Regions from separate parts of the Mus musculus genome. Here all the other regions are reported to be linked to region 4. The links are microRNA targets in miRTarBase. Many come from high-throughput screens and were not tested one by one. Region 4 holds a microRNA gene; each other region holds the end of a gene's coding sequence.

Evidence for each region. The annotated mature microRNA mmu-miR-139-5p reads UCUACAGUGCACGUGUCUCCAG and lies in region 4 at 4,667-4,688, opposite strand. An mRNA with a match to its seed (bases 2 to 7 or 8) in the 3' UTR can be bound and repressed. Matches are read on the target gene's strand: a 7mer-m8 pairs with bases 2 to 8, a 7mer-A1 pairs with bases 2 to 7 and ends in A, and an 8mer does both.
Region 1: miRTarBase lists Msi2 as a target of mmu-miR-139-5p. Seed matches in the 3' UTR shown: 7mer-m8 at 1,557-1,563.
Region 2: miRTarBase lists Sco1 as a target of mmu-miR-139-5p. Seed matches in the 3' UTR shown: 7mer-A1 at 5,847-5,853.
Region 3: the mRNA of Dynll1 is a reported target of mmu-miR-139-5p. Seed matches in the 3' UTR shown: 7mer-A1 at 2,019-2,025.

What each region holds. Positions count from the first base shown.
Region 1 is chr11:88,341,280-88,348,520 of GRCm38, forward strand. It overlaps Msi2 (musashi RNA-binding protein 2), which reads right to left. Exons shown (of 14, transcript NM_054043.3): 13 at 5,774-5,846; 14 at 1-3,381. The coding sequence ends at 5,805. Among named protein-coding and RNA genes, the nearest start is that of Mir378b, 7.9 kb to the right of the region's middle.
Region 2 is chr11:67,063,257-67,070,497 of GRCm38, reverse strand. It overlaps Sco1 (SCO1 cytochrome c oxidase assembly protein), which reads right to left. Exons shown (of 6, transcript NM_001040026.1): 6 at 3,058-6,592. The coding sequence ends at 6,458. Among named protein-coding and RNA genes, the nearest start is that of Myh3, 11 kb to the left of the region's middle.
Region 3 is chr5:115,292,649-115,299,648 of GRCm38, reverse strand. It overlaps Dynll1 (dynein light chain LC8-type 1), which reads left to right. Exons shown (of 3, transcript NM_019682.4): 3 at 816-2,539. The coding sequence ends at 953. Coq5 (coenzyme Q5 methyltransferase) reads right to left here. Exons shown (of 7, transcript NM_026504.2): 5 at 4,734-4,822; 6 at 3,872-3,983; 7 at 2,677-3,784. The coding sequence ends at 3,683. Among named protein-coding and RNA genes, the nearest start is that of Dynll1, 4.8 kb to the left of the region's middle.
Region 4 is chr7:101,473,070-101,480,069 of GRCm38, reverse strand. Mir139 (microRNA 139) reads right to left here and starts at 4,694; the gene lies at 4,627-4,694. All of the region lies in intron 1 of Pde2a (phosphodiesterase 2A, cGMP-stimulated), which reads right to left.

The DNA.
Region 1 (7,241 bases), not on the chromosome of region 4:
CCTTGGGGTCTCAGGCAGATGGATCTGAAAGCCAGAGAGTCCCCGGGTGGTTATTGATAATGCCAGGGAAGAGCCATTAGCCAAGAGGGTTTCTCCCCCAGGGAAGGTCAGAGGAGGGGGTCCCACATTCGCTATTGAGCTTAACTGAAACAAAGACAAAGATGGACACCAGTGCTGAAAGAATTTACAAAAAATTGTTTAAGATGGACTTCTAGATGGCGGTGGGGTGGGGGTGGGGGTACTAATGATGAACCTTATCCTAGGTAGCCACTTGAAAACATATCAGATGTTCACAAGATTTGTGCTATGGGCTACTGGGTCTCTTCAAAATGTATATAAACATCTAAAACATATTCACACAGATTATCAATTTCTTCTGAGCATCCTTAAAAAAATATTTTTTTTCTCTTAGTAAAATCATTTTAATATACCACACCTCCCTCTTTTAAAAAATAAATTAAAAAAATCCAGTTTTGCATATCTAGTGTTTGCATTTAAGGTAGTATGGCACACCCCTTCAGCTAGGGGGGCAGGGACCTACAGAATGCTGTAGAGTCAGCCGCCATTTGAACATTGTGAGACCTTGGGTTAGTTGAAACCACATCAAATCAGCAAAAATAAAAGTAAATTTGAACTTGGAAAAAAAAAAAAAGGAAAAAACTGCCCCCAAATTATTAGCATTTTTTTTCTTTTCATAAATAAGAGAAAGTTCTATCCTTACTGGTCCTAATCTGAATAACTATGTCTATTTTTTTTAAAACCTTAATTACATTATACCTATCAATATGTACTAGAAGAGGAGAAAAAAAGTCACTACACTAGTACCAAGACAGCACACTTACAAGATAGCCATTTTATACATTATTAACAGACAATGATCAACAAAGAGCGTTCTATGAGGTGATGGGAGTGTGGGGGAGATGGACAGGGGCTGGGGACAGGACATCAGCAACGCGGACAGAAGAGTAATTAGCCAGTGCCCTTGTGAGACACTGACTTGCTGGGAATCGAGTCTCTCTCTCTCTTTGTTGTTGTTTCTTAAAGTAAAAGTTCTATTTTGTTATTTTATGACTTGAGTAAGTTTTGTATTCTAAAAGCATCCAGCATTTTTCTTAGTTTGGTTGTTTGGAAACTTAAAACAAAACAAAACAAAAAACACCCCAAACCTTACCAAACAACTCTGTATCTTATATATAGAGATATAAAAAAAGAACATGATTTCCTTTCTTAAAAAATAAAACAATAAGATAAAACAAGGTTGCACTTAATTAGAACGGGAACAGGCTTCCTCCCGCCCTCTCTGAATTAGCTTTTTTTTTTTGGAGACTTGTCGTGTGAAGATGCTTCTGCGCTATCCCGTCTGTGAATGTCTACATTAGTCTACTTGTTAGTAAAATTTATAAAAGTAGGAGTGCAGCAGCTCATTGTAATAAATGTCGCGTTCAGTGCCTCACACTGGCTGTGCCTTAAGTACCAAATTTATAAACGTAACAATTTAAAAAATATTAATAAAATGTCAATATCACATTTTAAAAAAGAAAAAAAATATATCCACACTACAGTATGCTTTAATGCTACCCTAAGTTGTACTTCCTACGGCTGCTGTTGCCGACCTATTACTGATATTTTTCTTTAAAAAAAAAAAAAAGTTAAATTAAAAAACATCCTTCATTCTAAGTGTCTTCCCCAACTGAGGACCATATATTATAACAGCCAATGTCAAATGTGTACAAACAGGAAGCTGTCAGTTTTCCCCACCAGTCACAGTGCAGTGATGTTTATATTTTATTTTTAAAATTCTGTTTACATCTACAATAAATTAAAAAAAAAAACAAAACAAAAAACAAAACACAAAACTCTTCCATAGCCTCTCTGATGATACTTGCAGCACTGAGGTATCAAAAAGGAAAAAAAATATATATATAAACTGAAAGGTTGCTTTCCTAATTTGTAAATAGAAAGTGAATGGAGAAAGGGTGTATTCTCGCAGGCTTATCCACGCCTGACCCACGGGTTCCCCCGTCTGGGGACAGGGTGAAGAGAGAGGCAGAATATCCTAGGACCCTTTGGAGGTGCTGAAATGATCGGACAATATAAAATGATCAGATATTTAAAAATTAAGACTGAAAAAGAATGACCCCACCCTGCCCCTCCCCTAAGCCAAAACAAGTGTGCTTTGAAACTTTAAATATGTCAAATATTAAAATTGTAGCTTTTTTTCCTTTTAAAAAACGTCTTGGGAAAAGCAGTTTTTCATATTTTAAATAAAAATCTAGCTAGATCATAACATTAGAAGCTGTGCACAGAGAGGCTGGTAGGCTGGCAGGGTGCTAATGTGGTTCTTAGGTCTATCACACCAACAGTGAAGAGTGGGGGTCTGGGGTGCCCTGGCAGCTGGGGGGGCTCTTCTGTTGTTGTACTGGCTTCATCGAGGTTCCCTCCCCTCCTTCCAGGGTACCTAACTGCCCAGGATCAACTCCCTCACAAAAATATTTTTTGATTCTCTCTTCCTTAATAGTTTCTATGTAGTTAATGGAATTATATTTACAACATTTTTTTGTTTGTTTTTTGTTTTTTAGAATTCACAATTTCAAAAAACCTTGTAATATGACCTCTTTGAACAGAAGAAAAGAAAAAGCACTCATAGGAAAGGAAGACCCTCAAAACACGGCCGTCCTTACCTTATTGCCGAAAATAGATATACTTAGGTTAACAAAGAGACGTCACAAAAATGAACGGCTAGAGAGTCTGTTAAGCAGCCAACTGTATGTCACTTCTACAACACAAAATAGAGTCTATGCCCACCTCCCGCTCCGCGTATCACAACTTCGATTCAGTGTGTGCTAAAGTCCCAGATGAAAAGTCTTACAGTCTCAGAACTGGTACCAAAAATGGAGAGTAACATCACCATCTCAGCATCCTTTAAAAGCGAGAACAGAATCAAAACAAAACAAAAATTCTCTTTAAAGGAAAAAAGAAAACAAAAAAAAAGAAAAAAAACTCCTTAATATATAACAAGTATACTATGGTTAGCTTTAACTAGATATTAAGCTGGGTGACTACCAGACTAAGTCAAAAATCACTACCAAATGTGATTGAGGGAGATTTAAAAGGAGAAGGGAAGAGGGAGAGGGGGACCACCAAGGAAAACAAACAGAACCAAACCAAAATCATGGATTATATACACGTTTAAAAGCTGTTGTCTTATATTACAGCAGGTAGCCGATGGGTGAGATGAGATGTGTCAACCCTCAATCCAAGTGTGCCACCTCTGGTTGGGATGAGGAGTGAGGCTGGTGGGGGTCCAGGTCTGAGGACGTCACCTAAACAAAGGGCCACTCAGAAACTTCGCCCAGTCTTGCCTGGACATCCAGGTATGCTCTGTAGTGTAGGGAGGTCAGGCGCGTCCCGGAGAGAACAAAGAGCAGGGGTGGGAGGGAGAAGAGAAATGTCAGGCACACATATGGCTCATGCCAAGGTCTCAACTACAAAACTACAGCTGTCAAAGACTAAGTTATGTGACTGTGTGTGTAAAAAATAGCTGGGCTAATGGCTGATTTCCTAGCTTGGTAAACCAGATATCTAGGCTGTGCTTGACAGATAGATCTGATACAGGGCTGGAAAGTTCTGGAGATCCTGGAGGGAGGTGGAGTCAGAATAGGTTTCCACTAGTTGGTCAAATCACACATTGATAAAACAAAACCCTTCCGCTTAAATTTTTGTTTTTAAACCTATGTTTAAGAAAAAAAAATATCGCCAACTGGGTGGTGGTGGTGCATGTCTTTAATCCCAGCACTTGGGAGGCAGAGCCAGGTGGATTTCTGTGAGTTCAAGACCAGCCTGGTCTACAGAGTGAGTTCCAGGTCAACCAGGGCTACACTGTGAAACCCTATCTTGAAAACCCAAAAAAGAAGGGGTGGGAGAGAAACCTATTGTTAACTGTTAATAACTAATGTGAATCTGTAGTAAGAGATTATATACTAAGGGATGGATATAACTATTTAAAAAATAAAAACATAAACAACAACAACAACAACCCCCCCCCCAAAAAAAAAACCAAACCAAACCAAATAACCAGCTCTGGTCCAAGAAAACCAAAACAGACCCAGGACTCAGGCTTGCTAACTGGGTGATCCTAGATGGCCTGTGAGCCTGGGCTCTTCTGTGGATGGTGACTACATGTCAGAGGGTCACTTCTGCCGGAGACAAATGATATGATTGCCTAGTCTTCCACAGCTGCTATGCAATCATGTGACTTGACCGGAAGGAGTGGGTTTTGAACTGCTGCCCTCCTGATGACTTTATCCTTATGTAGAAACTGAGTCTTAAAGCTGAATGATGGACATAAACTGGGGGTGAGGTCATATGAGGGAGGGGGCTCTTGGGGTGAGGAGCAGATACTGATAGACCCAGTGGCTGGACTCCCGAGGGAGGACCTGCTATGCCTAGGCAGCCTTTGAGTCCCTTTTTGTTAGACACTGAAGCCATCTTCAGCCTTCTGAGTTCTTGGTCCTATCAGCCCTCCTTGCTTTCAGAGGAACCTCACTGTCCCCGAGCCCCAAGATCCAGCCTTATTAGTAGCGAGTAGCTTTTGTTCAGGCTGTTAGTGGGTTCTGGCTCTGGCCAGTGATGGAGGGCAATGGAAGTGAGGGGTGGGAACATTCATATAGAGGGTTTACTTGGTTAGGAGAGGCAGTAGAGTTAGTGGAGCAGCAACAAAGGACGGAGCTTAAAGATTTGTGGAGCTCAACTCAAATGGGTTTCTCAAATGGTCCTGGTCTACGGAGTCATGGTTGCTTCCAGAGCTAGAAGATTCCCCTCTACAAGAGAGTGGACAAACCCAGAGCTGGCCTTTCCTTCCCCTAGCTCCAAGTGAAAAGTCTTGGGATTCCCCACGTAGGACCTATTCCAAGGCCTTAGCCATCGCTGTCTCACCCTCTGATTTACATGCCAGCACAGGACAGACCTTGGGCTTCCCCAAGGATGACAATCCTCTGCTTGGCACACCTCCCAACCTGATACTCATTTTTGGAGAATGTGGTAAGAGGATTGCTCGCTACCTGCCCAGCCTCCCTCCCGTCTCTCCCACCACCTCTGGATTCCCATCAAAGTGATTTAAAAATGTTTAATTAACTTGAGCTCAGTTTAAAAGGTTAAGAAACTGGCAGGGATCCAAATTCACGTTAGGCAGGTGATGCTGTTAATTTAATTTGCTTTTCGTGTGGTAATCTTGATAATTACTCCATAGTTAACTGGCAAAAAAAAAATGTTTTCCTTTCACTCAAAGATGGAGTCAGGCCGGTTGGCTGCACGAACCCCATTGGCTGAGAGTCCCGGCAACCTACGGGGCAGTTCACAGGACTTTTGAGAATGGTTCTGCTCCCCATGCCGACCCCAGGATTGGCATAAGACCAGTTTACCTGCCTCCATCCTTCCTGGAATGGACACAAAATGAGATCACCTTCCAGTTTCCCACTCAAGAAGGAAAAAGATGAGGGTGGAGAAGATACAGAAACAGAGCCAAAAGAACCAAATTAAAAATGAGCAAAATGAAGGGGTGGGGGGGAGGAGTGCCATGATTAAAAGCCGGAGGAGGAAATGAGAGAATAAAGATACTGGATTTATTTTTGATCCCTCTTCCTTTGAAAGGGGGTTCAGCGAGAGAAGAAAGAGATGTGATGTGATGTGCATGTGTGTACACGTATGAGCGTATGGGCACATATGTGTACGGACACGCGGGCAGGGCGGAGACGCACGGCAGAGATGGTAATACCTCATAGTGAGACGGCAATGGAAGCGCCTGCTCAGTGGTATCCATTTGTAAAGGCCGTTGCAATCAAAGGTCCCTAAAATTGCACAAGTGTTAAGTCCATCAGCGCGTTATACATGGGAACAGATTGTCTTATCCTGGGAAAGGAGATCACCTCTAGCACTACAGTTGATGGTTGCCAGCATGAATATGTAATTCTGAGACACCGTGCCATGGGGAGTTGGGGTGATGCTGTCCCCAGCTCCCTCTTTCCTGCCCAGAGATCCCCCCACCCACGCTCGTCTGCTTCCCAAGGGGAAACCAAGAGCCAGACTCTGAGGGGTGAGTGGGTGGGAAAAATGGGGCTCATGCCTCAAACAAATGACCACAACAGTGGCCATGGACCCCACAGGGCAAATACAAGGATCTCAACAGATTAATTTGGGGGAAGAAATGTCCGTGGTGATCAACGTTGATGGCCTGTGTGATTATTTGAGAAATAACATCACAGTGTGAAGATCCCAAGATCCAGGTTTTCGAGAACAAACAGGATGTGTGTTTCTCGCTGCTGAAAGTGGAAACGAGTCGTGTCCTGAGTGCTGACTGACCAGCCCCCAAATTGGTGCAGCTCTGGGCTGAATAACAATGTTCTGGATTTGGTACTACAGTTGATCCGAGGGGATTAGACTCATCAAACTACTGATTCGAGTAATACTGGCTTTGGAGCAGAATTGAAAGAGGTCTCAGGAAGCACGGGCCAGGGTTGGCTAACATGCACAAATATGTGTCTGTGTGAGAATGTATAAGACAGTGCACGCCTGTGTGTGTGTGTGTGCGCGCGTGTGCATGTGCGTGTGTGTTTCCAATGCCAGGAGCCATGAAGTTGCCTTGGCTCTTCAGGCCCTTGCAATGGCTTTGGTCTCCCCCACATGGTCCTCAAGGCAGATTTTTCCCTGCTTTCTCCCAGATACAGAATCTGATGCAGGATGTAACCTGGGATAGCAGACACCCCCACCTCAACTCAAAACCAAACTGCCTCCCAAAGAATGAGGCTGGCTAGGGCAGAGACTGGCCTGGGGGTGGTTTCTGTTTCCAAAAAAACAAAAACAAAAAACAAAAAAAAAATAAAACCGGAGGGGGCACCAGCCAGCGAGTGGGCTCAGGCACATTCATGCTCACACACCAGGAGGGAAAAGAACAATACGATCTGAAAACAGCATGCAAATCTCTTAAGCAAATTTCCATTGCCTGGATTAGTCAGATTATAGAACCACAGAGCATCACAGATATCAAATGCATCTGGCCTTTGGGGAGCTGCAGCTAAAGACTGAAAATAGGAACTTACTTGGAACCTGGAAGCTGGAAGAAACATTAGCAAAGGAAATGACCTGGGAAGGGGCTTCCCCTACCATCTTCCAGGCACCACTGACACTAGTGGACAGCAGAGGCGAGGGATATGGCATGAGGACTTATCATATGCCAGGACATGACT
Region 2 (7,241 bases), not on the chromosome of region 4:
TCGTTGGTTTCTCAGGTTTAGTTCCAGCCACCAGCTTCTCCCCTTTCTCCCACTTCTCCCTCCCTTTCACTCATCCGGGAAAGGAGCTAAAAGTTACGGTTTAACAGCCAGACCATATGCCTTCTTCCAGTCTGCTAGGTCACTGGAACTCAGGAAATCTCGTGATGGTGAGGAGGGAAGGTGGGGGAACCCAGATAAAAACCTAGGGAGAAAGCTACATCTTTCCAAATCACCGGCTCATGCAACCTCCTGCAGGAGATTCCCTGGTGCCCTTGGATTCTAAGGAGGGGGTCTAACTCAGCCCCCTCCGTCCTACAGTTCACTAGCGTTACCTTGGGTCATGAGACCAAGGCGAAGCATGGTGGTGCACATTTTTAATCCCAACACTCAGGAGGCAGACGCAGGTAGCTCTATGTGAGTTTCAGGCCAGCCTAGTCCTACATAGTGAGTTCCAGGACTTCCAGGGCAATGTAGAGAGACCCTGTCTCAAAACGTCTACATTTTTTTTTTAAGAAAACAATCACACATTTTATTCTAAAAGACAGGCCCATATTTAGGGCCTTGAGTAGGTTGAGGTGGCAAATCCCCCATAGAAGGTTCCTGAAAAGGAGGGAGCATGTAGAGCTTGGGGACCCCTTTGCTCAGGTTTACCTGTGGGGTGCTGGGCTGGTTGGAACGTCAATAACCCCATAACCTCAAGAACTTCTCCTACAGAGTGAGGGAAGCCAGAAAGAGAGAGAATTTAAAATCAGCTTCATGACTATCTTAAAAGATTGATAGCAGCCGGGCAGTGGTGGCGCACGCCTTTAATCTCAGCACTCTGGAGGCAGAGGCAGGCGGATTTCTGAGTTTGAGGCCAGCCTGGTCTACAGAGTGAGTTCCAGGACAGCCAGGGCTACACAGAGAAACCCTGTCTCAAAAAACCAAAAAAAAAAAAAATTTTTTTTTTAAATTTTAATTAAAATCCAACTATGTCACTTTCCCCACTTCTATTTCCTCCATAAGCCTCTCTAATGCCCACCCTTACTCTATCTCAAATTGATGGCATCTTATTACTGTTACATATATAAATGTGTGTATGTATATATATACACACACACACACAACCTGCTGAGTCCATTTGGTGTTGCTTGTGTGTACATGGTTTCAAGGCTAACCACTTTGCACTGGGTAACCAACTAAGGGGCTCCCAATTTTCCCTTCCTCAACAGTCCTTAGTTGCCTGTGAGTCTGTCTGCTAGAGTTGGGACACCGTGCGGCTTCCACCTTCTGAGTTCGCATGATTATTGTTATTGTTGGAGCTTTGTTTAGGCAACTGTATTGTCGAGGTATCAGGTGCTGCTTCCTTGTGAAGTTGGATGTCTTGTGTCTGCTGGGCACTCATATTCTCATCTTCACATCCCTTTTCCTTTCTCTCGTGTTTTTTTCTATTTTTGGAACTTTCATATGTCAAATGTCCTAGTAATCTTGTGCGTGTGTTACCAATGCTTCACTCATTTGTTCCTGATCTTATTTGAGCCTTGCCTCAATCCCAGGGAATAGGCAGAGCAGGTGGCCATATCCCCACTTAATTGATGGGGAAGCTGTGACTCAGCAGGAGTGCTGCACAGGGGGATGGGCTGTGGTGAGGTCCTGGTCCTTGCTTCGTGCTTGGTGCAGGACCTCAGTGCCTCAACACTGAGAATAGCCTTGGATTATGGGAGAAACAAATCTCCCTGGTAAAGTTTAAACTTACTAAATTGACCTTAGTTTTTCTATGTAAAATTAAAAGGCAGAGGGGGGGGTAAACTAATAACTATAACCCCTCATCTCTAGCCTGTCACTCTGTCACTTAACGAGCATAAGAGACACAAGTCTGTAGGTATGCTGAGGGGAAGTGTTGCCTGTCACAATAGATTACATTCTCTGGGGTGACATGGCAACCTGTCACCAAAGGCATTGCTTCCAGGGTCTTGCCAGGCTGTGCATGAGGAACCCAGCATATTATGCCTCTCTCCAGTCAACAGCAACCGAGCACACAGGGCAACAGCGAACCCAGCAGCTCACTTTCATGGCTGGTGGGAATTAGATCAAGATGGCTACTCCTACAACCCCTGCAGGGGGATATTACCAGCGAATCACAGCAGATACCTCATCCTGCTCTTATCACCACAATCTCTCTCGGCACCATGATGTTGGAAGAAACTACAAAGGGATTGAAGTCAACACAAGAGATCAACTATCTTCCTTAGACTTGACCACTTTTCCTAGTAATTTCTTTTTGTATGTGGTGTGTGTGTATGTGTGTCTGAGGATTCGTATCCCCACGTACACACGTAAAGACCAGAGGACGACACTGGTGTCCTGCCCTATCTCTTCTGCTTTATTTCCTTGAGACAAAGTCTTTCTCTGAATCTAGAGTAAGGCTGGCACTCAGCAGGCAACACTTCCCCTGAAGAAGGCAGAGCTCTCAGCAAAGTTTAACAAACCCAAAGGGTTTGTTTGAATAGTCAGAGTCAGGGCCCATATGCAGGGTCTTCCATTCCCATTTCACGGCATAGAGAATCAATGGCTCCAGAGACCTCCAGTCCACCCTAGAGGTCAGCAACCAAAGCTGTCATGGCACTGAGAGGCAGTGAGTTTGCTCATAGGCCTTTGGGGAGTCTCATGGAAGAACGGAAAGAGACAGCTGGTCAGTGTCAGCCTAACAGTGAGACCACTCCAACGATCCTTGTTCCCATTTAAATTCCTTTTTTGTGGAATGGGCTGGAAACACTACTCTTACAGTCCAGCCATCTGAAGTATTCCTGGGTGGGTCTGCAGTTGGCAGCTCATTATCCATTTTCCATGTGAGGATGATGCAAATTTAAGAGCCCAGGCAGAGTAAGAAAGAGAGCCTTCCCCTCTGCTGCTGCTGGGCACTGAGGTCTTGTGATGGTCTTGAAGTTGTCCTACCATCACAGTATCAGGTCCGCCATTGTAGTGGTGTTGGAGGAAGGGCCCATGTAGGTCCTTTTGGGTTTGTTGAAAAGTTAATAAAATGTTGGCGCACATTGCAAATGTAAACTATAACATGGTATCAGTTTATACTTTATAAACAGGATGTACATACTTTTGCATAGTCATATATGTTTACACTGTCTAAAAATGTAAATGTATAGACAGCCTAATTTTCTCCCACACTGCTGTGCTGTGAGCCTGAATTTGGGGGAAATGCTCTGGCCTCTGGCGTTCTTGAGCATCCAGTTTTAGGTCTAGTCTACACAATGATTTTAGTTCTTCCCGTCTTCTTTCTCTAGAGCTTCAACGAGTGAGCCTTTGTTTCTTACAACCGTAATACCCAGGAATGCAGTTATGACATGACAGCAAAGGCAGAACACATACAGTCATCACTAGGCTTCACCAAAAACATAAATACTAACACCAATGGATAAGAAATGATTATGAGTCCAGAAAGAAATTATATATGAATAACTTCAGAAAAAGCCCAAGAACATAAGTGCATAGTTCAAAAAAGAAGAATAACAAGTAAATTATAGATGGAAAACATGGCATTACTAGTGATCAATAGTAAAAATTAAAACAATGGAATTTTGTCTCAGAATAATACCCATTAATGATGACTCTTGCATAGAACAAGTAGGGAAATTATGGAAATTATGGGTGGTGATGTTTGCAATAAGTAATAAACCATTCTCTTCCCTTTGGGTTTGTTAAACTTTGCTGAGAGCTCTGCCTTCTTCAGTCTCTTTGTCCCTCTCTCACCTGGGGTAGCCTGCCCTTGCTATTGTGCTAAGCTAGAGCACGTTGCTAAGAGTTGAAGTCTTACACCCCAGACATGCTTTCTTTCAAGGCCACTCATAGGAATTCTTCTGATGTGTTTTGAGGTGTAGATTGTAGACAGTGGCAGGATACATCCTACACTTCCAGGTATGTAAGCCACTACATAGTTCAAGGCATCTCACTCTGGAAGGGGCTTTGTGTCTGCTTCAATTGAAACCAATCACACCAAGTCCTGCTGGAGCTGTGCACGTCTGGTTTGTGCTCCCACCATCTGATGCCTTCCTAATGCAATCCTGGTTTTACAAAGAAAAACCCTAACAAGCAGGTTGTTGCATTTGTTCTGGTCTACACTGAACCCTACTCTACTTGCTTCTTCCTTGACCTTAGCGCAGTATACACACAGTTACAGTATGATATAGAGTGACCGATGCAGAACCCTGAGATAAAGACATTAAATGGCTACTTAATGTCTTAAACGTCTCTGAACAGGGTGGCTGGAGAGATTGCTCAGTGGTTAAAGAACACTGACCGCTCTTTCAGCAGTTCCGAGTTCAATTCTCAGTAACCACATGGTGGCTCACAACTAAGGAATGGACTATACTGGTTCACTGCAGCTGACTGATTTAACAGAAAATAATTGTTTTCTTAAGGTTCTAGAGACTGGCAATCAATGATGGGGGTGTCAGGAGTCGGTTTCTTCTGAGGCCAGGGACAGACAACTGTGCTTCAGCCTGCTCTCCTGTGTTCTAATTTCCTACCCTTTTAAGGATATCAGTAGGTTTGCTTTAAGGAAGAGAAAACCTAACAGCTTCATTTAAACCTTATTACCTCTTTAAAGCCTTACTCTCCAGCTGTGTGGGGGTGGTGATGCCTTTAGTCCCAGCACCAAATACTACCCAGAGGCAGTGGCAAGTGGATCTCAGTTCAAGGCCAGCCTGGTCCTTACAAGTTCTAGGACAGCCAGGATTACAGAGAAACCCTGCCTCAAAAATTTAAAAACAAACCAACAAATAAATAAATGCCTTCTTTCCACATTCAGTCACATTCTGAAGTGACTGATCCAGGACTTGAATATATAAATTGTAAATGACATGATTTGGCCTATAACAAGTACAGGTGTTCTTTCATGGTGACATAAGTATTTTCATTAGGCTTCATGTAAGTACCAAGAAGTTAAAAACCAGAAGGTAAGCCTTTATTGCTTGCATATAAACTAATCTGTGTTTGGGAAGAATGGTTTCCAGCAAGGCTCATTTGTAGCATCTTTGGATTCATTAAAAAGGTTCAAGTTGAAAAGGAGATAGCCAAACCCAGGTATCAGGGAAGTTTAATTCAGAAACAAAGCCAAGATTCATTACTCAGCAGGCATCGTCTTTCTTACTCTCTTTTTTTTTTTTTTTTTTTGGAGACAGGGTCTTATTAGGTAGCCTGGTTGGCCCAAGACTCTCTATTAGACCAGGCTAGCCTCAAACTTGAAGAAGCCCCTGCCTCTGCCTCCCGAGTGCTGGGACTAACAGTGTGCACACCACACCCAGCCAGACGACATTCCCTGGAGTAGCTGCTGACACCTTTAAGAGCTGGTTATGCTTGTTACTTCTCTATGGAACAGATGACCCAGGTGTGGGCTCAGGTCCTCAGATCTCAGTCACTTGCCCCTGGAGACCCAGGTCTCTGTATCCCACTCTGACTCAAGAGAGGCCAGTTCCTGGCCTGTGAATCTGCATTTTAACAAGCACTTATCTATTTAACAAGCACTTCAGTCTGTGGCCTCTACCCCTACCATGGTGTGCTAGGGACCCATTCTTCACAGAAGCAAAGCCATGCTTGTCCAAGTTGCTGGACTGACCACATCTTTTATTTCATACATTGTGTAATCTGGTACATAAAAATTACCAGATCATAGACATGATAAATATTCTCATTTCCACGTGGTCTACCACTGAAAACCAGTCAAACCACTTAGCTATTAAAAAAATAAAAAGGATTAAAAAAAAAAAAAAAGCTGGGCAGTGGTGGTGCACGCCTTTAATCCCAGCACTGGGGAGGCAGAGGCAGGCAGATTTCTGAGTTCGAGGCCAGCCTGGTCTACAGAGTGAGTTCCAGGATAGCCAGGGCTATACAGAGAAACCCTGCCTCAAAAAACAAAAAATAAAAAATAAAAAGGTGGAGAATGAACCAAAAGTTATGTGCAAACAGTAAGTTTTCTCCTCCAGCCCAAAGCAGCACCTACTGTGTGACAGAGATGCAGACCTGATGGTGACATTCCTTTTCAAAGAAGCTAAGCTTCTACTCTCAAATATAAAGAGGACTTGAATGCCTATGCTGAGCACACAAATTGAAACAGCAAGAACATTACGGAAGTGACACCTTCCTGTAGAATTTGGCCCCCCTGAGCAAGAAGACACCGGCAAGGAAGCAACACTACTCCAAGAGTGCCATTCCTACAGATGTGCATTGTGTGCCTCTCTGATGGTTCTGGACGTCTGTTCTCCACTGGCTCTGACCACCCTGGCCCTTTAACTCATGGTAGTTTCCTGGCAGACTGGGTTGGCTGAGCCCCAGGGTAACATCTCATGTAGAATGATGTTCTCAGGGTATGAAGTCCATGTTGTATGTTACAGTATATAGAGGTTCCTCTGGGAGACAAAGCTTCCTCTTCAGCAAGCCAATCCTGCATCTGGTGACACGGCTCTGGCTACCTCTTCTTCATGTGTGACCTCATGTGTGCAGCAATTGAGCCGGCTATTTCTGCCTTCTTCTTGTTTTGTCCAAAATAATCAAGAAATTCTCCATCTGGTCCAATCAAGTACATTATTATTGTATGATCCACCTGTAAAGCGGAAGGGAGAAAAGAATGTGTGAATAAAGATTACAATCTTATTTTACCGAGGAGAAAAATGTTGCAGGGTAAGAGAAGTTAGCATCAGTATGTAAGTAACCACAGCAGTTCCCAGTCACCAACGCATGGTCGACCAACTGGGCCTGCACCACCTCCAGTGCATGCAGAGCCATGGTCTAGAAATGGCTGCCCCTGGGTCCAGCCTGGGATGCTTTTGGTACTGCTCTTTACATACCCACTGTACAGTCTCTGAGAGAAGACTGCACCTCCTACTAGCCTTCTAAGTAGCCTATGCTGTGGAACAGCAACACTATTTTGAAACACTTTCCACTTCTGACTGGGAGTCTCTCATCTGATCCCTTCTCCACTCATACTTGTCACACAGGAGGCGAAGCAATGGTCAGTGAGTGCCTAGCAATGGTCAGTGAGTGCTGAGGTACCCGCCCTTATGTTTAAGGACCTGCCTACACTCTGCTTGCCACACTTTATGAGAAGCCAGAAAACCAACCACTAGCTGACAAATGTGATATAAACCCTAGTAGTGATTTAATCCGATATTTGAGATCCCAACAAAAACTGTAGGATATTTTTCTGCTCTGGGAAATTTGCATTTGCTATTCTGAGCTTGTGCTCTGAAGCA
Region 3 (7,000 bases), not on the chromosome of region 4:
GCCCTGGTTCTATCCAACTAGTGAAGAAATGAACACATTGCTAGTTTTAATGTCCATGGGATGGGAGAATCAGGTAGCAGATGCTCTCTAACTTGCTAATTTTTAAGACTGGGTAGATGTGGAGGAGAGCGATTTTAAAAGATAAAGTCCTGGCATTTAACTGTCAGGTTCTGTTGCATTTTTCAGCCTGGCTTGATTTATGTGGTAATTGAGACTTTGTCCTTTGGTCTTTGGGGGGGGGGGTGGTGGTTGTCTTCCTGATTTGGGGTGCATGGCAAATACAGTGGTGGAGCCTGATGAACTGCAAATGCTGATGTCATCTACCTCCATCGAATTGCTGGAGTCAGAGGTGAGGTGCAGATGATGGGTCTTTTAACCCCCCAGCACTAGGAAGGCAGAGGCAGGCAGATCTCTTTGATTTTTGAGACCAAACCAGTTCTAGTGCGGTCAGGACTACAGAGAGACCCTGTCTTTAGAAAACAAAACAAAACAAAAAAATCAAAGTAGTCCAGAAGTGCCCTCATTGAAACAGAACTGTCCTTGAAAATGACCTTCTACCTTTGATCTTCTTAGCTCCCATTCTCAGTTTACCTCAGACTGCAAGCACGTTGCATTAGGTAGATGATTTAAAGCCAGGGAACATTCTCTTAAGAATTTGCTGGGGCTGTGGTGAGCGCTTGCCTGCATGCCCATGCCCTGGATTCAGTCCCAGTGTGGAGACAATTACAGATGCCAGGATTGCCCTTTCTGGTCCTACAGGCTCTGGAAAGTGAATCCTCCAGGTGTACCACTAAATTTCTGTTTCTTCTTCCTAGGAGTTTGACAAGAAGTACAACCCTACCTGGCACTGCATTGTGGGCCGAAACTTCGGTAGTTATGTGACACATGAAACCAAACACTTCATCTACTTCTACCTGGGTCAGGTGGCCATTCTTCTGTTCAAATCTGGTTAAAAGCATGGACTGTGCCAAACACCCAGTGATCCATCCAAAAACAAGGACTGCATCCAAATTCCAAATACCAGAGACTGAATCTTCAGCCTTGCTAAGGGAACACCTCGTTTGAATCTGTTGTGTTGTGTACAGGGCTTCATTCTCTGTACAAGTCTGTGGTTATAAAATTAGTAAAACAGCTTACATTTGTATTTATTTTCTAGTCCATACTTCTGTACCCCCATTTTTTTCTCCCTTAGGTCATTCCTTTAAAAATAAATCTGTTGGAGATGTATGTCTCTGCTAGTTTGTTCAAGATAGGGTTGATGAGGCTTAGCAGTTGGTAAGTGACTTGGTCTGTTGTCTGAGGTGTTCCTGTTCTGTAGGATTAGTTTAGTTCTCTTGATGGAATGTCTGGCAGGCCACACCTGTCTTTCCAGATGATTTGGATTATTAGCCACAGGTCTGAGGCCCTGTTCCTGTCAGCCTAGCACTTGGGAAGCTAAGGAAGGAGTAGAGCAGGTTCTAGGCGGCCCTGGATTAGCGGACCGACCACAAGAGTTCATTTGCTAGGCTGCTGCTTTCACTGGCTGTGCTCAGAAATCATCAGTACATGTGAGTCACAGCTTCACTTGGGGACCTAATGAAAGCTATGGGCCCGGAGTCACCAAGTTGCCCCGTTGTCAGTTGGAGCTACTGTAACCCAAGGAGAGGCCTGCATAGGAGACTCCTGCAGGTAGAGGCCCAGGCAGCCAGCCCACACTTCACTATGCTTCTTACGGAGAGCCTCAGGACAGCTTTGTAAGCTGAACTTGGTCAGACATTGTGTTCTGTCAGGACCAGGAGTGTGAGACTTTGCTGTTGGTGTGTGCGCAGTCAGTGATTCTCTACTGTGTAGATTCTAAGACTCAGCAGCAAGTCTATTCCATAAGCCATCTTGCAAGCCTGTTTCTTTGTGAAAGTGTCTTAGGAAATCCAGTCCTGGCCTCAAACTATGTCATGGTTAGGGATAACCTTAGTGTTCCTTTTTGTTTTTGTTTTGAGGCAGGGTTTCTCTGTGTAGCCCTGGCTGTCCTGGAACTCACTCTGTAGACCAGGCTAGCCTCGAACTCAGAAATCCACCTGCCTCTGCCTCCCGAGTGCTGGGATTAAAGGTATGCGCCACCACTGCCTGGCAACCTTAAATGTTCCTTTGTCCCTGCCAAGTACTGGGATTGCAGATGGGCACCCCTCCTGATTGTTTTACCGTTTTGTGACAGTAGACATGCCTCTCCTACTATCTGCAGAAACAATGGGGTACTTGGAGTCATGTGACCACAGATAGGGCAGTTAAGTTTGTCTATTTTGAACAGGTAAAACTGTTTGCATGAATGGAGTCCCTCTTCCTCCTTGTGACCTGACTAGTTTTGGCCATCAGACTGTAATTGCTAAGTCTCCAGTAGCAGTCCCCAGTGCCACGCGAGACCGCGTGGCTGGACACTGAGAGTCTAACTTGATCAGGCTTTGTTTGCTGTCAGGAGCTGGTGACTTGTATTTTCGGGTTCAGATGTGAGAACATGTTGCTATAGAAATAAAATTGGTTTGATGGTGTATGGAGTTTCTCCCAATGCTGGCTCAAAAACAAAATACAACACTGTCTAAGGTTTAGCATTTTCTCATGCTCTTTACTGCTGTTCTGAGGTGAGGGCTTGTGAGATCTATAAATGACCCCTAGTGTGTTGGGCCAAAAAGTGACATCTGAGGACCTTTCAGATAACCCTACTTTATTATATATTTTTTTAAACAAATGTTTGTATAAAGCCTAGTGTCAGGTTCAAGATACACAGAAAATCCCTTAACATCACAATGGAGGGCAATGAGATCAGGCTCTGGCTGGTCTTGGAACTGGAGGAACTGGGCTATATGCATAGTCTTATTTTTTTTTTCTTTTAAGCTTCTCTAGAGAAGTATGAGCTCAACATGCAGTCCCGCCTGGCCTGGAACTCGCTCTGCGGGCTTGGCTCAGCAGTGGCAGTGCTGAGATGGCACTTTTGTGATTCTTATTTAACTTTTTATGTATGTCAACGCGTGTGTTTGTGTGTGTGTGTTTGTGTGGGGGCATTGGGTTCCCTAGTAAGAGTTACAGAGAGTTGTAAGACACCGTGTAAGTGCCAGGAGCCGAGGGTGGCGTATATCTGTGTCACCTCTTCCAGGAAAGAGTAACAACCACACCCAAATTGTAAACTTCACTGCTTCACAGGTTCCTACTTCTGTTTGCTTCTGCGGAGCACCAAACCCAGGGCCTCCACGGGCCAGGCATGTGCTCCACTGAGCTGTACCCCTAGCCCCAGATCTCAGAGGTGCTCACCGCTGGGTGCCCACATTGTCAGCGTTCTGATGTGGACCACCTTAGATTCCAATCTGGTCTGAAGAGCTGGTTCAGATTCTCCTTGGGTTCCAGTGACCCATTACCCCTCTAGAAAACATCTGTCATGGAAGAAACTATGAACAAACTTGAGAATTGCAATCGTGCTGGTTTTACCTGACTCCCACACTGCACGGCTAAGCCTCTAGCTGGAGTCCAGCAGAAACCAGGCCAGACATTTCTGGGAGAAGGCCTCAGCAGCCTGGGCAGCTACTAATGAGAGCTAATCCAAAGTCTTAACGGCCGTAAGAGGAGACGAATGGTCAGCTACTGTCTCATCAGGGAGATGATCTGGCCCCGGGGTTCAGTAGAAATGACTGGCCTGTGTGCCACAGTAGAAAAGGAGCTAGAGTTTGAAGCCAGAGTGAATGGCCACAATCCCTGTAGTCAGGTTCTCGTACGTCACCCTCTGAAAGCCTGCGTCTTCAATCATGTCCTTGAAGTCCTCCTGAAATGCAAGAAAAGACACATGGGATGCTTGGGCTTCACCTTCGGGGACTTTGTTGTACGCCACGAAAGCTTTAAAGCTTTGTACCTGATTTGGGAACTTCCGAATACTTTCCACAAGGTATTGGTAGGACTTCCAGTCTCCTGCAATGACCTCACCAATGACAGGGATGACCTGGAAGCTGTACAGATCATAAAGCCTAAAAAACAAAAACAAACAAACAAAAAGATTTAAAGCAGGATCTGGGCTTATTTCCTGGCTACTCCACCAGTAACAAGGAAAAGTGTGTTTGTGGGTGGGGTAGCCTAGTGTACAGAGTGAGTTTCAAGACAGCCAAGGCTACACAGAGAAACCCTGTCTCAAAGAGAGAGGGGTGGAGAGAGGGAGCCTCCTGTGGGATGCCATCCTTTCATGGCCATCAGGACACTGTAGGCAGGGGTCGCTGACACAGGTGTCTACAGAGGTCAAGCAAGTGCCTGTGACAAGGCAAGTAAGCAAAGAGGAAGGCCAGGAGGCCCACAGCGTGGGACAGAGCGCCAGGAAACTGGAGGAGAGGCGGCTAACCTTGCCTCTGATCTTTGCCTGGGGAATATGCTCTGTCAAGCTTGTGACATCTGCTCTATCCACGGAAGCTGGAAATCAATTGCCTGAGTTTAAGTTTTTGGTTGGCCAGTGGGTTGGGAGAGTCTCATTCTACAGACAAGCCAGGCCTGGAACTCATTATACAGACCAGGCAAGTGTTGAACTAGAGGTGATCCTCCTGCCTTAGCTCCTGAGTAGGCCCGTGGGTACTGGTTGAGGGTCTTCTGGCCTCTGCATCTCCACTTGGGGCTCGCTGACCTCTGAGCTCACACTCAGCGCCTGTGGGGCTCACTGACTTCCTCCTCTCCTCTTTGGGGTGGGGAGCCTTTGGTGGATAAGTTTATACAGCCCTGTCACCAGCGCTAACCTGGATATGAGAGGGTCATTCACTTGGCCAAATTCCAGACAGAGAAACCGGCCTCCTGGCTTTAGGACCCGATGGGCTTCCTGGAGAGCCTGGGAGAAAGAGCGAGAAAAAGAGAAAACGAGCCTCAGCGGGTCTCTCCTCAATTCCAAGAGGCAAAGGCTGGTTGTGCACCACAGACCACTGCAGTCAATGACTAGAGAAAGCTGCTGATACAGACAGAGGACACAGCTCCAGGAGTATAAAGCTTAGAATTATGGGTCACACCTCTTCCAAAACCTTTTTTTTTTGTTTTGTTTTGTTTTGTTTTGTTTTGTTTTGTTTGAGACAGGGTTTCTCTGTATAGCCCTGGTTGTCCTGGAACTCACTTTGTAGATCAGGCTGGCCTTGAACTCAGAAATCCGCCTGCCTCTGCCTCCCGAGTGCTGGGATTAAAGGCGTGAGCCACCACGTCCGGCCCCCCAAAACCTTTTTTATGTGTGGGTGTTGTGGCAGCATGTCTGTGTACCCCGTTGTATGTGGTACCTGCAGAGGCCAGAAGAGGGCGTCATATCCCCTGGAACCGCAGTAGAGACAGGTGTGAGCTGCTATGGGTGCCAGGAATGGAGCCTGGGTCCTCTGGAAGAGCAGCCACTGAGCCATCTCTCCAGACCCCAACAGAACAATTTGAAGTAAAGGAGTCTATCTGACAGAAAATGACATGTATGTTGACAATTCATTTTATTCTTCTTGTTTGTTTGTTTTTGTTTTTGAGATAGGGATTCTTTGTGTAGCTCTGGCTGTCTGAAACTCACACAGTAAACTAAGCTGGATTCCAACTCACAGAGATCCACCTGCCTCTACCTCCTTGGTGGCTGTACACCACCACTACCAAGAGTTTTATGTGATAACATGAAGGGAAATCACCATATAAGCCTGACCAATGGCTCAGGCCTGTAACCCCAGCAGCTTGGGAGACTGAGCACAGAGGATCGTAAGTTTAAGGCCAGTCTGGGTTACAGAGCGAGTTTAAGGCCAGGTTAACTTAACGAGATTGTTAATGAGCATATATAAAAGCCCCAAGTTTAACCTTATGCACACAGGCATACACAACCACTGGTTTATGTTGTGTGTGTGTGTGTATGTATGTGTGTGTGTATGTGTGTGTGTATGTGTGTGTGTATGTGTGTGTGTGTGTGTGTTTCTTTAGATGCTGGAGACTGAACTGTATGCTCTGGGTACATGAGATCCTGCCTCAAAAAAGCAAAAGCAGTATGATGGGGGAAATGTTTAGCACGATAATATCTGAGCAGTGATGTCACACACCTCTGATCCCAGCCCTGGGGAGGCAGAATCAGATGAATCTCTGAATTCGAGGCCAGCCTGGGCTACACAGTAAGTCAGATGGTAAGTCCCATGCCCTATCAATAGACTACTTCCTGCTGATTAGGGGCATCAAGTTCCTTGGGACAAGTTTGATCTTCGCAGTCAGGATATCTGATTCCTTATTCTTCTTTTTTCTTTGCATACGACTACTTAATAACTCACAATCAACAACCCAACCTGCCTTTTGGGGAACTAGCATTTATATATTCTCTGAAAAGTCACCAGAATTCCCAACATCACCCACTGTAGAAATTATATGCAGCTGGCAAAAATCACACCCCTCCTAGGGCACAAAACAAACCACAGTCAGCTGCTGTTAACAATATGAAGCAGCCCCATATCCCACACCGGGGATTAATATGAAAACATTCTTGTATTATTTTTGTGTTTTTCAAAGAAACCAAGTTCTCACTACACATAGGAGTTGGTTCTTTCCTTCTCTCTGCCTTGTATGTCCTGGGGATGGAAGTCAGGTTGTTAGGTTTGGTAGCAAGTGCATTCACCCTGCTCGCTTGCTCTGGTTAGTTTCTCTGTGTAGCCTTTGCTGTCCTGGAGCTCACAGAAATCTGCCTGCCCCGGCCTCCAAAATGCTGGGATTAAAGGCTACCCTGCTCTTTTGATCTTGGGTTCCAAGTCTTATAGAGAAGAGGAAAGAGGTGTCAGAGAGGGGGAAGTAAGGGAGAGAAAGAAAACCAAAACAAAGAAACAGGGAGGAAGGGGTGGGGGAGGGAGGGGGACGCCCCCACACTCCCAGGAGGTGTGCACACACTCAACTGATCATGTGGGGTTCCCACAAGGCTCCACTTAAAGGTCCACAGAACCTTTCCACAGTGTCACCTTCAGGTCTTAGCTAAGTACTACCTGTATTCAAACCAGAGCAGTCAATACAAACGGCGTTCTACCCG
Region 4 (7,000 bases):
CAAATGCCACTGCCAAGTCTCCTTGGCTACAGACACACACACACACACACACACACACACACACACACACACGTGCTGTTTTCCCAGTGGGAGGGAGAATCGCAGGCATTGCCTTCCCTGCCCTGCCCAGACCTTGCTTTGGTCTCTCCCACCTGTCAGGGTGTACTGCATCTTGGTCATGGTTGATATCTATCCACTGTGGACCCTGGAAGCAGTTGATTCCAGACAACACAATCCCTAAGTTTGCCTGCTTGCAACCCTCAGGCATCAGTGCTGCCTTTACATAGAGCCCCATATCCTTGAAGACACCCAGTATGATGTCAAACCCTTCTAGGTTCTCATGGCAACAGCTACTTTCTCATGTAGCAGACCAGAGACCCCCACATCAGCACTGTCACAGGCTTCTATGTGCTTCCAAGCCTAAGGCTAAAGACCACAGAGGGAAGATTCCATACCCAGAAAATCCCCCCCCACATTTTTTTCTTGACCCACACTCTCTAGAATGGAGCTTCAAGGACAAGGCCCCAAGTCTTGGTGTCCATGGAGTTCTATTCCTGTCTCAAGGCAGGAGGATTGCCAAGAGGGACCCAGAGAGCGTCTGACTTTGGTGACATCTGCCATGGGTGTGCTTAGGGAAATGGGAATGGCAGCCACTGCAATGCAGGAAGCCTTCCATGCAAGAGAAATTTCTGAAGCCACAGGCTGCAGTAGCTGTCTCCCCATTTGAGGGATGAAGAAACTGAGGCTCAAAGAAAAACAATGGCCCATCTGTGGTGGGCCAGAGATTACCCAAACCTCCTTATCTGAGCATATACAGCACCCAACTCCCATCTCCCACCCCAAAGGCTTAGAGAAGTCAGTGTGTCCTTTGTTCTGATTGGCCAGCTCCCCAACCTGCCCTTTGCTTTGATTGGTGGATGCCTTGAGCTGCCCTTTACTCCATTTGGTTGCTACTTGTCTGGCCTTTGTTCTGATTGATCAGTTTGCTGTGCCTTTTTAGGCCAAGGGCAAGAAAATGGCGGTGGTGGTGATGGTGGTAGAGGGAATGAGGTAAGATAGCTTGGGGAGAGTTGGGGCACCAGCAAGGAGGGGTTCTCCATCCTTGCCCGGGTAAGTAGGATGCAGACTAGTAGAGTTGAGGCTCCGGGCTTGGCAGCCATCTCTCCATCTGCTTTGGAGTCTGACCTGCTCAAGAATGAGGTGTTAGCTGTGGGAACGATTGAAGGAAACAGGCCACTCAGAGGGGCCTGTACAGCTCGCTGAAATGCCAATTGCACAAATGAACACCCACCTCTCACCCCACCACAAGGGTCTGAGAGTAACTTAACCTCCACTACACCAGCTGGGGGAGGGGAGTTACATTCGAATCCTGCCTGGGCACAGGACAGAACTGCAGCCTTGGGGGAGGGAGCAGCTGTGAAGAGGAAATGGGGCAATTTCTGAAATGGAGGCACAGTAGGGAGCCAGCCTCAAACAGTCCTAGCACCCCAGGACTCTCAAGGGAGGGAAAAACAGCCATTTTTACCCACTTGTTTGTCTGTCCTCCCTCGCCCCCTCCCAACCATGTGCCACATAGGCAGGCTGTCAAGTGTACACCTTAGCTCACACCTCCATGTAGATGGCTCATATAGGCACAGACAGAGAAATGCAGTCATACGTCCAATGAGTACAGTCAGGACTAGTATTTAGGAGTATGCAGGCAGACACACACACACACACACACACACACACACACACACACACACGGGGGTGGGGGAACATAGCACGTGTGCACATACACAAGAGTCCTTGCTCATTGTGGGTGGAGGCTGTCACATTTCCTGTCCTTGCAGCTTTTGTGAACAAACACCAGAGTAAATATCAAAATATCAGCATAACAACCAGGCAATTTCCCAGACCCCAGGGGAGAACCTGTGGCGTATAGACAAGAGCAATGATTTCCAGCCCTGTCCCAGATTGACGACAGAAGCTCCATGTGGCCTTGAACACACCCCTTTCTCTTCTGAACCTTGTTTTCCTCCTGAATGTAAAAGAGTCTTTCCACTCTGCGACACCTCTAGTTCTGTGGTTTTATGGACTAATTTGATGAGGGTGACTGGGTAGGTGGATGGAGGGATGCATGGAATGGGTGGGTGGGTAGATGAGTGAGTAATTAGGAAAATAGGTGGGTGGGTAGATGGGTGCATGACTGGATGGATGGATGGATGGATGGATGGATGGATGGATGGATGGGTTGATGGATGAGTAGATAGGCAAGTGGGTAGAAAATGAGTAGATAGAAGACTGAAAAAATGGGAAGATGGTGGGTATGTGAACAGATGAGCAGATGAGAAAAATCAATGGATAGATGGATGATTAGAGCAGTTAGATGGCAGATAGGTGGGTAGATAGGTAGGGAAAAGGGAAATGGGTGGGTGGGTGGACAAATGGGTAAAGAGATAGGAAATGGAGGGGAGGCAGGTGGGTAGGTGGGTGGGTGGGTGGGTAGGAAAATAGGTGGAGGGTCAGTGGTAGTCTGTGGACAGTAGGTGGAAGAATGGACAGAGTTCTTTTGCTCTCTGCAGCTCCCTTACCTGCGGCTCTCTACCTGCTGCTGTGGGCTGAGACTGCCATCAGCACCGCAGACAGCGCCATTCCTGTGTGCTGGTCTTTCTCCCTAGATACCATGAAAGGGGACAATGCTGTTGGAACCAGGGTTTCTCTGAAACCTGGGCGGTTGCCAGTTTTCTGAAACCTGGGCCTGAATCAGCATTTGTGTGTTCGACTGGGGAGAGCAGAGGGCCCAGATTGAATTGCTTCTAACTCCTTCCTAAGATCATATGAAACCAGAAATTTTGGTCTTCTCTCCTTTGGGGCCATCCTTAGGGACAGATGGCCTTGAGTAAGGGGTCACTGACAGAAGATGCTGTCTTATTCTGCATCTATAACCCTCCATGACTTTCCTAACTCACAAACCTGCCATCTGCTCGCCCTGCTGCTGGCACCTGGACTCCCTACAAGAAAGTAATAACATGGGACTCCAGAGTAAGAACCAAACTGTACCCTGGAACCATTTCTGCCGATCCATCTTGCTCTGTGTCTCCTCCTGGCCTGAGGTTAGGGGCTGACCTCACAGACTGGAATCTGATATCTTCCTCCAAAGGGAGATTCCCTGGGAGCTCCTCTGCCTGTCTGCTTTTTTCCATCCCTCTGGGTCAGGCTCTTCTGGTCCCTCCGAGTGCTTCTCTGCCTCTCCCCATCATACCCTAGGCGATGTCCATCTGTCACACACTGCTCTCCTGTCTTGCCATGTCATTTCCACCTCCACATCCTGGCTCTCTCTCCGGGAAGGCTTCTCTGCCCACCCTCCTTCTCTTTCCTGCATATCCCCACCCCAATCACTCCTGTCTCTCCTGCCCACTCCTCCCCCAGATCTCCAAGAAATCATCCTGAGAACATGGGGGGAGAACATCAACAGACAGAATGCAGCCATGAATAGAGGTGCCAGAAAGTGGTCACGGTAGGGAAAACCAGGAGCCTGGAGCAGATGCCACCTGCCCCCCTCTCTGTCTCCATCCTCTTGTTCTGGAGAGCAATGCACACATTTCCTAATCTTTCCTGGAGAATGGGGAGTGCATCTATCTCCATGCCCAGGGCACACCTCCATTAGCCAGAGCTAGGTTACTTAGTATAACTATTTAAGAGGACTCCTTGAAACTCAGAATAGGAAAGTCCCTAGCCCAAGCCCAAGTCCAGAAGCCCAGTTTTCCTCTCTGGCTCTTCACAGCTGCCCAGACACAAGGCAGAAAACAGAGGAAGCAGGAGAAGGTGGCTCCTTTCCCTCCCCACCGCCCACGCCTGCCACCTGCCCAAAGAGCTGTTTCTAACAGACCTGTCACCTGAAAATATTACAAGAGCTGCTTGTGTGTGCTAACACTTGCATCCACGACTTCCCAGTAGCAAGGCTGAGCTGGGCCAGAAGCAAAAGGAAAGGAAAGAGACTAGGTGATGTTGGGCAACCCAGATGCCAAGTGAGCCACCTCATAAGCCCTGAGTGACTCTGGCTATGGGGAAGGGAAGGTACCTTTCTCAGGTACTGATTGTGGTTGCAGATGTCCCTCAGTGGTTTCCAAAGTACGGCATGGCCCAGAGTCACCTGGAGGACTGTTGAAATACACAGTGCTGTCCCCACCCCAGAATTTCTGCATCAGCTGGTCTGGGAAGAGGTTGATGAATTTGCACTACCAACTCCCCAATTTCTAGCTGCTGCTGGCCTGAGACGTGCCTTTCACTCACCCCACTTTAGAGGCACAGGGGTGTAAAGACCGGGATGTAGGGAAGGTAGATCCTTTCTCCAGTGAGGGTAGCCATGGGGACAGCTGGATGCTACCCCCACATGAAGAGACTCCACAAGAAAGATCCCCAAGGAGAGGAGGCATAAGGGTGAGAAAGGAGAAAAGGAGCTGTGGCCATCGTTGAGTTGGTGACACAGGGGCACGTGGAAGGAGCCACCTGCAGCTCAAGAGCCAAGTACTACAGGAAGGGGCCCCCTTGTCCTCCTTTTCTCTCTCCCCCACCCCCTTTCTTTTGCCCACCATGCCCTCTTCCCCCTTAGCCCACCACCCTTCGAAGACTCTGGCTTCAGTTGTTACTCCAACAGGGCCGCGTCTCCAGCCTCCGAGCCACACTGGAGACACGTGCACTGTAGAATACACCTGCGCCTGTCCTGGCGCCTCCCAGGGGAACCTCCACTCCCTGAGGGGGACCCTTGGGACAACTGTTGGCTTCTCTCATCCCTTACCATAGCTGGTCCCCCCCTGGACCTCCCACTCCTCCCCAACCAGGCTGAACTTCTACCCCAGGCACTCCCACTGTACTGACCCCTTTAAAGCCATCCAGGGCCAAGTGTGGTGATAGAGAGTGGGAAGGAGGAGAAGCAGCCAGGTGGGAAGGCAGGGGTTGTTAGTCCTCTCAGACTGACAGTCTACTCTCCAGTCTAGAAGGGAAAGATTAGGGAAATGGAAAGAGGAGGGAGACAAGAGCCCAGTATCGGGAGGAGGTGATGGCCCTGGCCTGGAAGCTTTAAGATGAGTTGAGTTGGGTCAGACTTTGACTTCTCCTCACCCTACCCATCTTCAGTTGCCTCCTCCACACAGTAGGACCACTCTGTCCCCATAGCCCTCAGGTTTCTAACCAGTAAGGCCCAGCTCCCATACATGTCACCATAGTCTCCTCACAATTCCCGTCATCTTGGTTTCCTGTGGTCTCTAACCTTCCTGCCTCTGTGACCATGAGAGTTGAATTGAATACAGTGGGACAGTCACTGGGGACTGTGGTGAGTATCTGTGACTCAGAGCTGTGTCTGGGGAGATGTTTTGGCATCAAGGAAGCTTGGGTACACTGTTCCCCAGGGTGTACAAGAAAGAAGAGACTCTGGGAATCAATACCCCGAGAAAGGGTCTCGGTGAACTGGCTGGCCTCCTGCTCCGGTTTCTATGAGCCTGAATGTCTACGACCCCACCTCTCATGTGGCCTTGGAGATAGGACCAGAGCTTGACCCAGCAAGCCTAGAAGCCTCTGCAAGTCAGACATAATGGTCCACTCAGGAGAAAGGAATGTCGAGTGACTAGCTGGACCAGTGTCAGGAAGGGAAGTATGCCAAAGGAAAAGATATGGTCAGACAAGAGTGGGTGGGTGAGAGAGCCAGTGATGGTCTGCTCACTCGGACCCTCACAACTTGATGGATGCTCCTTCCCGGTGCTGTGTGTCATCACCTTGCCACACTGCCCTCTCTGGCTCCCCCATCAGGCCAGGAGCTTTTGGGGGAAAGGACAGCATCCTGATTGTCCCATAGCTCTTCTGCTCTTAGCATCATCTAGTCTCCAATGAGAGCCCAGAAATGGTGGAGGCCAGCGACCTCCTGAGCAGAGAAGTGGAGTTCCTGGAGGTCCCAGGTGGGGAGACAATGGCGGTCTCTGTATCCCAAGTCTGGCGTGATGAGAGACGTAGACAAACAGCCCACGGAATGAGAGGATGCTTTTCCCTGAGAACTTTTGACAGCATTTTCAAGGTATCTGGCAAGCCAGGAGACCTTCTGCTCTTCAGGATCATCTCCAAGTGGGAAAAGCCTAGGGTCCCAGGAAGAGCAGGTGAGCAGCACCTCTTATTCAAGGACGTCATCTACATGGGGAACACCTGTCTCCACCCCAGTCCTCCTGGGAATTCCTATGAGACCAACGTCTTTAGACCTCAGGTGTCATGACATTGGATGCCCAGTTTGGTATGGGGTGTATGGAAGGTCAGAGGAGACAAAAAAAAAAAAAAATAGCCAGGTTCTCCCCTAAAGGCATGGGGCGAGGCCCTCTCTCCTGTGGCTTTGGACTTCTCAAGTCCTGCTTTGGCCAAGGGATAGACTTGTCATCTCTCCAATGTTGGAATGGGACTGGGTGTCTCTCTCTAGGCCTGGGTGGAGCCTCTTGTCTCCCGCTCTTCCATTGTCCCCTTCCCTCCTGTGCCCACAATAGATAATAAATGCTAAATGGCACTGACTTGACACAGGGCGATGTATGGCTTACAGAAGGGCAGGAAGGGAGGGCTGACCAGGGGTGCTGGGCAGAGAACTAAGTGTCCCATGGTACCTGCCTGGTGGTTGGTCCTGAGTGTCCCCAGCCCTCCCAGTACCTCCCCAGGGACCTCTGTGTCTGCTTGTCTTGGTGTGTCTCTTTGGTGTATGTCGATTCCACAGCCTCATGTTGCTTCCTCCTCTGACTGTATTTGGCTCCATCCTCACAACTTGGCTCGTCCCAACTGTTCCCCAAATCCCAGGAGAATGGGAGTATGAGACATACAGGGACAGAGACCAATTCAGAAACAAGGAAACACGTGAGAGTCAGAAGGGGATAGGAGACAGGACTGTCGAGGCCAGGACCAGCCGGGGAAGACCCCCAACATACAAGGAAACCCTTTAAGGAAACCTAGGGAGGAGAGATTCCTCCTCTACGCTGACTCCTGCCCTTCTTTT